3 linked regions of the Tribolium castaneum genome follow. The main gene of each other region encodes a partner of the protein of the gene in region 2 in a complex. Links are inferred from orthologs where the notes say so. Each region holds a gene or a part of one and is shown on either strand. Other genes may lie near its edges.

Region 1 (2,810 bases), on a different chromosome or scaffold from region 2:
ATCATGCTTGGGTAAGCGCACTATTTGCGATAATGATGAAAAAATCTGGAGAATTTACTTACACGAGTTCATTCACATAACCTCAATGTACGGCAGCTTTGCGCCTTTTTGTATCTCTAGTTTGCTTATCAAAAAAACTATTTTTGTATTAAATATAAAAATTGTTCTGCGGTTACGTGCTAAATGGAAATTAAATAACTTTTTTTCTATTAGAAAATGACATTATCTTGGGGATATTTCAATGAAAAAAGTGTTGCCAAGATCAAAACATGGCAAACATGTTACGTTGGCACTTAGTTGGCGCTTAGTTTTAAAGGTTTTTTTTCCATTTATTTAATAATTATTTTTATTACTTAATTATTTACAGGGACTACATTACCAAGACTGTAATAATGAGTGTTTTTCAGCGTTAGGAAATTGGTTATTTTATCCTGTTTAGACTTCGTACGCATAAGATTGCAGATGAATAATTTTCTTGTAAAAAACGTTGGGTCACTATTTATTGAATGTTTGTGGTTGATACAAAGCCTAAATCTAAGATATTAAAAAATAAATGAAAACAATAACAAAATATTTAAAGCGTTTAATAAATCATTCGTAATCATCATCATTGTTTGGTAGAGCCGAAGCTTGGGCTTGTGCCGCAGCTTGTAGTTGCTCCCATTGCTGTTGCTCCACAAAAGCCTGCTCTTGCCTAGCCTTGGCGAACAACTCCTGCTGTTGTCTCAACAACTCCTCTTCTGGTATTCCCAAATTTTCTAACCTTGTGCTCTGTCGCCTGCGTTTCGCTGCAACAGCCTTACAGTCCTTAAGAACAGCTTCAGCTTCGGTTTGATAATCTCCAAAACCCAACTTTTCTAAAGCTGCGAAAAACTTTACTTTTGTGTTGTTTAACAATGATGAAACATACCCATCAAAACGTGTTCCGCATTTATAGTCTTTTTGTCCAATCGATTACATATTTCGTTCGCTTCAGAACTAAGCAAATGGATAAATTCCGTACAACAGTTGAGGATTAATTCCCTTGCTTCATTTGCAACTCGAACTGATGGGACTAACTCCTTTATCATTTTGTTAATGCTAGCCCGAGGCAAAGTCAGCTCATCGTCTTCGGTATTTGTTAAACCACCAGCATTATTTTGATTAGACATTGTAAATTGTTATATTTATCAACAAAAAAGAGATATTTAACCTCAAATAGGGACAGCTGGAACAATTTGACATGTCAAGGATAATGCTGTTAGAGTCCGCGAAATGACAGATCGTCATTTGTGTGAAGACAGCTCCCAAAACCAGCTCCTCGAATTTCCGAAGAGACCCGAACATGAAGCCAGTTTCAGACTAGCAAAATAAGTTTCAGTTTGCTTAGATGTATGTTTGGTTGTCAGCTTTGAAACCGTTTAATAAAATAAAAATCCGAAAAAACACTAAACACCCTCTTAAAAATGACATTTTAAGAAAGTCACTATGCTAATAGCGAAAAACTCAATTATTTACCACAAATTGCTTTTTAATTTTTCCCACTTTTTCACCTAATTTCAATATTTATGGCTCCGCAAATGCATTATTGTAGTTTTCGCCCCATTTCACCCCGAAATCGGTTTTGTCACACAATGCCCTTTTGACCACTAATTCAACAATAAAAAAGACGTTTTTTAAAAATAAAATTATGGCCTTTTAGTTGTCGGAACAATGTTAAAAATTGTTATGTTGCCCAGCTCCGCAAATGCACTGTTGCAGTTTTCGCCCCATTTCACCCCGAAATCGGTTTTGTCACACAATGCCCTTTTGACCACCAATTCAACAATAAAAAAGACGTTTTTTAAAAATAAAATTATGGCCTTTTAGTTGTCGGAACAATGTTAAAAATTGTTATGTTTTCCAGCTCCGCAAATGCACTATTGCAGTTTTCGCCCCATTTCACCCCGAAATCGGTTTTGTCACATAATGCCCTTTTGACCACCAATTCAACAATAAAAAAGACGTTTTTTAAAAATAAAATTATGGCCTTTTAGTTGTCGGAACAATGTTAAAAATTGTTATGTTTTCCAGCTCCGCAAATGCATTATTGCAGTTTTCGCCCCATTTCACCCCGAAATCGGTTTTGTCACATAATGCCCTTTTGACCACCAATTCAACAATAAAAAAGACGTTTTTTAAAAATAAAATTATGGCCTTTTAGTTGTCGGAACAATGTTAAAAATTGTTATGTTTTCCAGCTCCGCAAATGCATTATTGCAGTTTTCGCCCCATTTCACCCCGAAATCGGTTTTGTCACACAATGCCCTTTTGACCACCAATTCAACAATAAAAAAGACGTTTTTTAAAAATAAAATTATGGCCTTTTAGTTGTCGGAACAATGTTAAAAATTGTTATGTTTTCCAGCTCCGCAAATGCACTATTGCAGTTTTCGCCCCATTTCACCCCGAAATCGGTTTTGTCACACAATGCCCTTTTGACCACCAATTCAACAATAAAAAAGACGTTTTTTAAAAATAAAATTATGGCCTTTTAGTTGTCGGAACAATGTTAAAAATTGTTATGTTTTCCAGCTCCGCAAATGCACTATTGCAGTTTTCGCCCCATTTCACCCCGAAATCGGTTTTGTCACATAATGCCCTTTTGACCACCAATTCAACAATAAAAAAGACGTTTTTTAAAAATAAAATTATGGCCTTTTAGTTGTCGGAACAATGTTAAAAATTGTTATGTTTTCCAGCTCCGCAAATGCATTATTGCAGTTTTCGCCCCATTTCACCCCGAAATCGGTTTTGTCACATAATGCCCTTTTGACCACCAATTCAACAAT
Region 2 (4,089 bases):
AGAAATTGGTAGTTGTAACGGTTATGAGAATAGTTTTGTTACGGTCTGAACAGTTTCGTTTTTATTTTATAATTTTTAATGTTGCAACATTACAGGTACCTTCAGCCTGTTTTTTTCAGGAGTTCCATTTTTTTAAAAGTTAGATTAGAAAATAACAAAAATGTAAAAAAAATTCATGTACATGTAAAGATGAATAATAAATTGGTGAAATATAACACAAAATGAAAGTTTCTCGAATGTTTACTACCCAATAAATTATTCCATAAAACTTGAAGCTTCAGAATCAGACATAGTGTCTGAAAGATAATGTCAGGCTTGCTTTGTCTTCTGTTTTATGGCAATGACGTAGCGTTGGGCCACATACAGGGGCGGGCTGTAGCCTTCAGGATACGCAGCGTCTTCAAACAAAATCTCATATTCATCAGTATGTGTTGCGGGAGGCTTGTTCACAATGCCTTTATAGAAGCAACTCGTAGTTGGGTATAGAGCCATAACTGAAACGCAAAACCAACATTTTAATTTACGTGGTGTCCGGTTATAACGAACTCAGAAAATGTGTCAAAATCCGTTCGTTATATCCGAGGTCATTAGAAGAGATAAATTAACAAAGAGTGTCTTTTTAGCTGTTATTTTTGCTTTATATCATTTGTCAAATAAGACGAAATAAGAAAGAATTGTAAAAAAACATTAATCCTTTGCGAAAAAGTAATAATTTGATAGTTGTGCAAATATTTTAAGGAATGTGAGTAGAGCTCAAAAGAACTCAACTTGCATTATCCGAATATTTGTGGTTTCTGAATTTTCGTCGGCGATGGCGAATAAATTTAAATTTGGCGAGCAATTTTAAACTTTACTAATAAAAATTTTAAACAAATATGATCTCTGAGGAATCTACTACACTGAGTAAAAATTATTAGCAAAAACAGACACAAAAAAACCACGAGACATCCCATAAAATAATTATAAAAATGTAAAAAATTTACATAGATTTTTTTTGTGCTAACATACCACCGAATGTTTCAACACGTTTGTGACATTCATCGGGCAATAATTCCAGAAATACTAGCCGAAACCCTAATAAGTGTATAATCGTTGGATAGCTCTTAATAATCTGTTTCTTTTTACAAAAAAGACCATTGTTCTGCGATTAACAGTTTTAAAAAAAATCGCAAACAGTGTAAAAAATATATCTTAAAAATTATTAAGAATCTGGTCATTTTCTTGACGCCAAGCGATTTCCCAGAGCATTTTACAAAGACAACTTTAAAATAGTTTCAATTTTCCGAAGAGTTTTGCCATAATCGGTGCTTGAAACAGGAGGAAGTTCGTTGTAACTCCACTTACCGACAGTTCCTTGTGGAAACAAGGCCGTTGGATCAGTCTCGGGATTAGCCCGCATTAGGGGTAACGGTACCACATTTCTCTTGCTCAAAGTATGTCGCCGTTTCTGATTCTGCTCCGCCAAAATATCATCAACTTCGTACTTATTTGAGGCGTGATTATAACTGTACACTTCAGCCAATATCCAGTTTTCGCCATCTCCATCAGGAATTTTAACCAAAGCAGCCACCATATCGCCCACTTTTGCCACATAGCCAGAGTCAGCAGGTGTGGCACCACAGAGAGCAGGAGGTTTTTCGTCTATTTTACCGACGAAAAGGGGCAATGTTTGTGCCGAACTCATTAACATCTTCATCCAAGTGCCCCTACGAATCGATTCTTTGTTTCCAGCATGTCTCGTTTGAATTCTCCGTTCGTTCTTAATGTTGCGGATTTCCGCAATTTTTTGAAGAGCTTGACGGAGCAAATCCTCCTCTTGCTCGGCGTGCGAAATTGAGGACTTGTAGAGGCTCTTTAGCTTCATCTACAATATATAATCATTACAGTAATCATATAAACTCTTATTGAATCGAAACAATGGAATTCTTTAAATTCACGTAAACAAAAATATTTACTTGAAACACAATTGAGCTTTAAAAGGTGGTTCAAAGGCGATTTTTTTTAATTTAGCGTTTCCAGGGCACCGTAAGCCGCCAAAGATCAGAAAAATGTCATCAAAGATCTTAAAAGCCATTGTAATTATTTACGTTTTAACAATTTTAACTGTAAGTTGCAGTGAAATCAGTACTTTTATTTGTAGCATAATTATTAGGTAACGATTGCCGCTGAGAACAAGACCGAGGTAAAGGGACCAAATGTCGTTGACACAAAGAAGAAAACAAATCACACTGATACACACATAAAAATGTTGGCCCCAAATTACTGTTATTTTTTCGGAAAATGCCTCAAAATATTTTGCGAATGCCAGAAAATCCACACCTGATAATGTTGGCTGGACTTCTCGTCTTGCCCATTTTGAAACTTAACAATGTTGTTTATTCCTTGTTCACTCTGTTGGCGTTTCTTCTCAATCTCATGAACCGTGTGATAGAGCGACTTCAAGTGCTCCTGAACTTTTTGCGCTGCGATTGCGTCTGCACTAAAGGGCATTTTAATAGTGCAATTAAAATTCACCGCAGAAATATGGGTTCCTGAAGTGCCTGTCTACAAGCACAACGTGGTACCAGCAAAGCAACACTAAAGTGACGAGTACCTGAAACGCCCAAAATAGAGCAAAAGTATACACTTTAGTAATCACTGACTATTCTACACACGGTTCTAGTGGAAATGTTTATTTCAATTAAATCAAAAAACATTGATTTGACTGTTTGATGCACTGCCAGGGAAAAGGGCACAAGTCGCACTGCGGGGGTAACTTTTATGTATTGTACTTTACAATAAACTACTAATTATGGAAATGGTAATTTTTTATCAAAATAACATGCACGTAATTTAAAATACACTTATTTTTGTTTGCCTGTGCTTGACGTTAGCCGTGCAAATAGACTACTTTTTGAAACACACGACCTAATACATATATTCAATTAAACCTACAAAAAATTCACTAATTAGTAATAATTGTGGAATAAAATGCTTGATAATGTTTTTAACATTGCAACGATAATATCACTAAGTTTCCCTTTTTTTCTATATAAGATAATGTTGTGTTAGGATTACTTATCTCTGTGTTGTCACATTGGAACTACGACGGCCTTGAGGCGCTATTTAAAAAATTGCAACTATTTTTTATTTATTTAATTAAATACGTGTTTGTAAACTTGCTACGAGGTTGTGATTGTGAATTTAATTAGTACTTGCGTCTTTAGATTAAAATGAAAAAAATTATTTGCTTATTAATTATGTAACTAACTAATGATATAGAGGTTTTTAATTTAAATATTTCAGGAAAATTCTGGTTTCAAAACGATTTGGGTCTATCTGAAAATTTATTTCATTAAAAAATATCGTGTTATTTAAATTTAGCGCCGCGCTTGTGCAGAGCGTGATGTTTGTAGACGTTTTAGGAATTGACAGGTAGCACAGAACAGAAAGGGTTAAGAAGTGATAATTCCCTAGTAAATCACTGGCAACACGAGAATCCAGCGCCTCTGGTGCTGAAGTGCGTTACTACCACGGTAAAGTGCCACGTTTGAATAAATTCCTTTTATATTGTTTTTTATTATTTTTATCTTACAAGTTTCATTGCAAATTGTTTAAAATAAAAAAATATATTTTCATTTTAAACAAAATGAAAACGTTTTATATTTATTTTAAACAAAATTTGAAATGAAACTTACAAAAAAAGTTGTTTTGGGGTAATAAAACACAGATTTTGTTAACATTTTTATTGTACACTTGAGTAACATAACAAATTAAATTTTTCAAAAAATTAAAGTATTGTATTATTTCTTAATTATACAAAAATTATAAAAAAATTAAATCAGTCAGTGTTGGCATGTTTTGCCTGTCTGCTCGAGACTTAAAACAAAATAAGGTCTGCTTTGCAATGACTTTTACCTTGTCTGTCAGCAAACAGTTGCCCACGCTACGACCACGAGGAGGTACATGCAGTGCACTGACACACTCGAGCGCAAATAAGAAACTTAAAAGTAAATTCTGAAATACCCTAAATAGCGAAAACGCCAAAATTTTGAACTTACAGGATCCTCAATTTTGCAGGCATTCCTCCACAATTCTTGAAGCTTTGGA
Region 3 (3,833 bases), on a different chromosome or scaffold from region 2:
TGTTTTCTCGCCATCTTGAACGGTATTCAACAGTTGAAAACTAACTTAAATGTTGACGTTTTGGCCATTTTGTGCTCGCTGAGATTGAATCGAGGCGGCATGGTACAAACAGCCGAACAATACGAGTTGATACATCGCGTATTGAATTTGTATGTTGACACAATGTAATAGTAATCAAAATTTCAGGACAAAAAAATCCATGATGATAATCATTTGTATAGAATGTAAATGTGATAATTTTGTAGGATTAAGCGATATATTTTTTTTGTTGTTGTTCTGTTGCGTCATATTTATTACGATTTGTTTTTTATATAAATATTTAGGGAAAATCAATTTTAGCCGTTGGTAGTATTCATGTTCGCAATATACTTTTTTTATAGGTTAAGTTCATCTCATCGCACAATTGTGATTGTCAGGTTGGCACTATTGACTCATTCGTTTCATATACCACCAGTGGTGCCAATTTGAATATTCAAAAGAGTGATTTTTTACCAACCAAACGAAACGAAAAAAGCATTTTTTGATGAATATCTCTCCCAAGTACAAATTGATTTATCGGTGTTTTTCAATTATTTAATTAGGAGTGTTAATTAGACAATTGAGGAAAAAGAAAACAACTCTAAACACCAAATACCAGACTAATTTGTAAATTAATGTGTCAAAAATAATAATAATAATAATGTAAGACTTAAAACTGGTGTTTTTTTTATTCCTGCAATTCCGCCAAAGCTTTCTGAAACTTAAACTGCGTTTCCAACAAGACATGTGTCTTCACTTCAAATTCTTTCAAACTTTTTGTAAAGGCGGCTTTATCGAAATCTTCATCCTTGGCCTGCTGGATTTGCTTCTGTTTGGTCATTAACACCTTATTATAAACTTCCAAAACCTGAAATTTTAGGTGTTTTAATTTTGTTACCATGGTAACACCAATCAACAAACTTCGCCATCTACTACATCCAGAGCTGCTTTGATTTCTTGCCGTTTCAAATCTTTGACAACTATAGCTTTCAAACGTTTCAATTCCTCAACATTATACTCATTGACAGCTGTCAATTCTTGTTGACATTTTTTTATTTCTTGTAAAATCTCATCGTCGGGCATTGTTTTAGATAAATCCTCAACACTTAATAATCCTTGTTCGACTAAATCTTTCTTAAGGCGGCGATCCATACATATGGCAGCACGTGGACCACCAGCTGACTTGATTATATTCAAATCGGACGCTTTAAAAGTGAATTAAATGAGTTTGAAGTTACGACAAATGTGATTTTATTACGTTTGAGTTTCCCAGTAACACCCGGAAATGACGTCATCACTTTCTCCTCAATCAAGGCGGCCAATAGGCGTTGAGTTTTCGGGTTTGAAAATGAATCAACCATTCTATTGATTGATTGTAAATTTTTTTGAACTTTATGACTTGATAAAAAATACTTACGCACTCAAACCGTTCTTTTTCAAATCAAGGCCAACTGTTTTAGAGGTTAGCCCCAATTCTTGTTCCACTCCGGTTGCATTATCTGACCACTCATTGGCGTAATATTCGCCCAAATCGGGTATTTTTACATCAATTTCTTGCGAACATTCCTCGATTAATTTATCGAGGAACTAAAATTTTTTTTGTTAATACATAATTATAAAATTGAAAAAATCAATCAACCGTAGCGTGTGAATTCGTAACGGGGGCGCAATAGGGCTCCACAGTCGCCCAAAACTTATCCGAAGTATCATTCTTGGGTAAATTAATTTTGGGCATTTCATGCCTCAAGGGCACATCCACCGGAAGTGGATAATGACGTTTCAGGGGGCGTGCGCCCCCTTTCAAATCACGATACTTGGCCTTATCATCGGGCCGTTTCCGTTTGAGCCCCCCTTTATCATACGATTTGCCCTTTTTGTCTCTTTTTTCCTCAACTCGATCAATCGATTCGATTTCGCCCCTTAAAAACCGGTTACGCACAGCACACGTCGAAATTAACTTCTCAAGGTCGAGTTGAAGTTGATCAAGGTCGTCCATGTTCACTCCATCGTCTTCGGTGCGCCCCAAAACTAAAAACTTGCTCATTAATCAAAAGGGGCAAAACGTTAGGTTAGGGTTGATTACTGGATGAAAAACGGGGCAAAAGCTTCGTGTTGTCGCATTGACGGATCAAAGGGACGGTGTTTATGAAGTTTTCGGTGTCAGGAGGGATGGAGTCGTGACGGGAGGACGAGGGGGCGTCTTTCGCTTTGCCCCCTCGGGGGGCGTTTTTTGACATGAGGTGGCGTTTGGGGTTGTTCATATCACGCTTTAGGCACAAAGAACATGCAAAATGTTAATCATCAATGTTATTTTAGCCAATTTCACACAATTTTGTTGTTTGTTGACAATCGATACATAAAAATTGACACTTGAATTACAGGAAACTGTAAACTAAATCGAACATAAAGGGGGAAAATTTAATACGTGTTTCCGAAACGTAGGGCTTTATTTACTAATCAAGTAGATACACCTGGAGGCACAAATAATTATTAATTGATTACTGGACGCACTGAAACGTGATTAAATATGATTAAGATTTGGGCAGTACCATGTATCAAAAAAAAAACGGTGCAAAATTTTTATTGATTTCGAATTTCTAAAGGCGGGCGATCAAAATGCCGTATATTCCTCGGCATAACCATGTCATGTTGCCACTTGGCCACATCTTTCATGTAATTACAAACGGCCAAAATTAAATTTTCGGGGACTTTCGGCCCGATTCCTGGAACTGGATCCACGAACACATCCTCATACTCAATCTAAAACAATTATAAAAAAAAATTTCCCACTTTTTTTTTCTACTTCTGGCGCTTTTTCCTTGACGGACGGTTCACTTGTCGACGTTTCGTAACTTTTAAGTGACTCATTAGTGAAAATTTCACTCTCAATTCGTGTTTCAAAATGTTCAGGTGCATCAATTTGTGATTGAGTTAAACCAGCTTCAGCTAAAATACTAGCTTTGAATTTCTCAACTTCGTCGTCACTTTCACCCATCATGGCTTCCTGTAATGACTAAACCCGAATTTATTTCGGGGAAAAACCTAGTAGACTAGTCGGTGAATTACCCGAAGTCTTGCCAAATCTTCCATAAGATAAGTGTCTTGTTTCAAATCCTCTTCATCTTTCTTCAATGATTCACTCGGTGCTGATGACATTCGCGTACTTTTCGAAACAAGGTCATCTTCAACCGGAAATTGCGGAATTTTTTCGTCTTCAGCCAACTGTTCCGGAAATTTTTTTTCGGAAACAGCGACCGATTCTTTACGTTCTTCAACTTCTTCTTCTTTCACTTCTTCATCAACAGGTTCCGTCTTTTCTTCTGTTTCTTCCTTTATTTCTTCGTTGCTTTCTTCAAATTCGCCTTCGGCTCGTATTTTCATCAACAATTTCATGTAGTTGTCCGGATCCTGACTTGTGACACTTGGACACGAAACAACCGAACCCTCATCGTCTTTTTTCGTCTCCCTTTCACTTTTTTCCGTCACTTCGGACACAATCTCGCTCATAAAATCCGTTTCGAGTTCCTCTTCCACCGGTTTTTCCCCTGAATCTTTGGCAATTTTCTCGCGAAACAATTCGAGAAACTTATCCAAAAAATAGTAATTTTTCAAAGTTTGTGGCAACGAAGCATCAATTCGTGCTAAAAACTCATACAAATCGAGAAAAGTCGATAGAGGAATCATTGCAGAGCCACCTTCAGGCTCTTCGGTCAATATCTCACAAATCAAAATCATTGTTTGAGTGAGACTATCGGTCAAATGTGCGGCACAAAGTGCAATAAAACGCAACCAAGGCACGGCTTGATTATCGTCAA

Evidence for each region.
Region 1: Sgf29 (region 2) and NC2beta share a complex: the UniProt entries of both Homo sapiens proteins name them as parts of the ADA2A-containing complex. The link is inferred for Tribolium castaneum from reciprocal best matches to the Homo sapiens genes SGF29 and DR1.
Region 3: Sgf29 (region 2) and Ada3 share a complex: the UniProt entries of both Homo sapiens proteins name them as parts of the ADA2A-containing complex. The link is inferred for Tribolium castaneum from reciprocal best matches to the Homo sapiens genes SGF29 and TADA3.

The regions. Positions count from the first base shown.
Region 1 is NC_087398.1:1,910,239-1,913,048, forward strand, and holds NC2beta (protein Dr1), read right to left. Parts: upstream 1,271-2,810; 5' UTR 1,152-1,270; coding exon 911-1,151; intron 864-910; coding exon 592-863; 3' UTR 569-591; downstream 1-568. UniProt on the Homo sapiens protein: The association of the DR1/DRAP1 heterodimer with TBP results in a functional repression of both activated and basal transcription of class II genes.
Region 2 is NC_087396.1:14,033,129-14,037,217, forward strand, and holds Sgf29 (SAGA-associated factor 29), read right to left. Parts: upstream 2,921-4,089; 5' UTR 2,643-2,920; intron 2,594-2,642; 5' UTR 2,491-2,593; coding exon 2,320-2,490; intron 1,865-2,319; coding exon 1,345-1,864; intron 495-1,344; coding exon 310-494; 3' UTR 223-309; downstream 1-222. UniProt on the Homo sapiens protein: Chromatin reader component of some histone acetyltransferase (HAT) SAGA-type complexes like the TFTC-HAT, ATAC or STAGA complexes.
Region 3 is NC_087401.1:17,517,181-17,521,013, reverse strand, and holds Ada3 (transcriptional adapter 3), read right to left. Parts: upstream 2,434-3,833; 5' UTR 2,280-2,433; coding exon 2,102-2,279; intron 2,047-2,101; coding exon 1,658-2,046; intron 1,606-1,657; coding exon 1,436-1,605; intron 1,381-1,435; coding exon 1,277-1,380; intron 1,224-1,276; coding exon 940-1,223; intron 887-939; coding exon 707-886; 3' UTR 632-706; downstream 1-631. Other genes in the region: uncharacterized protein LOC656520, read left to right, coding at 1-168; uncharacterized protein LOC103313297, read right to left, coding at 2,599-2,778, 2,822-3,031, 3,085-3,833. UniProt on the Homo sapiens protein: Functions as a component of the PCAF complex. The PCAF complex is capable of efficiently acetylating histones in a nucleosomal context. The PCAF complex could be considered as the human version of the yeast SAGA complex.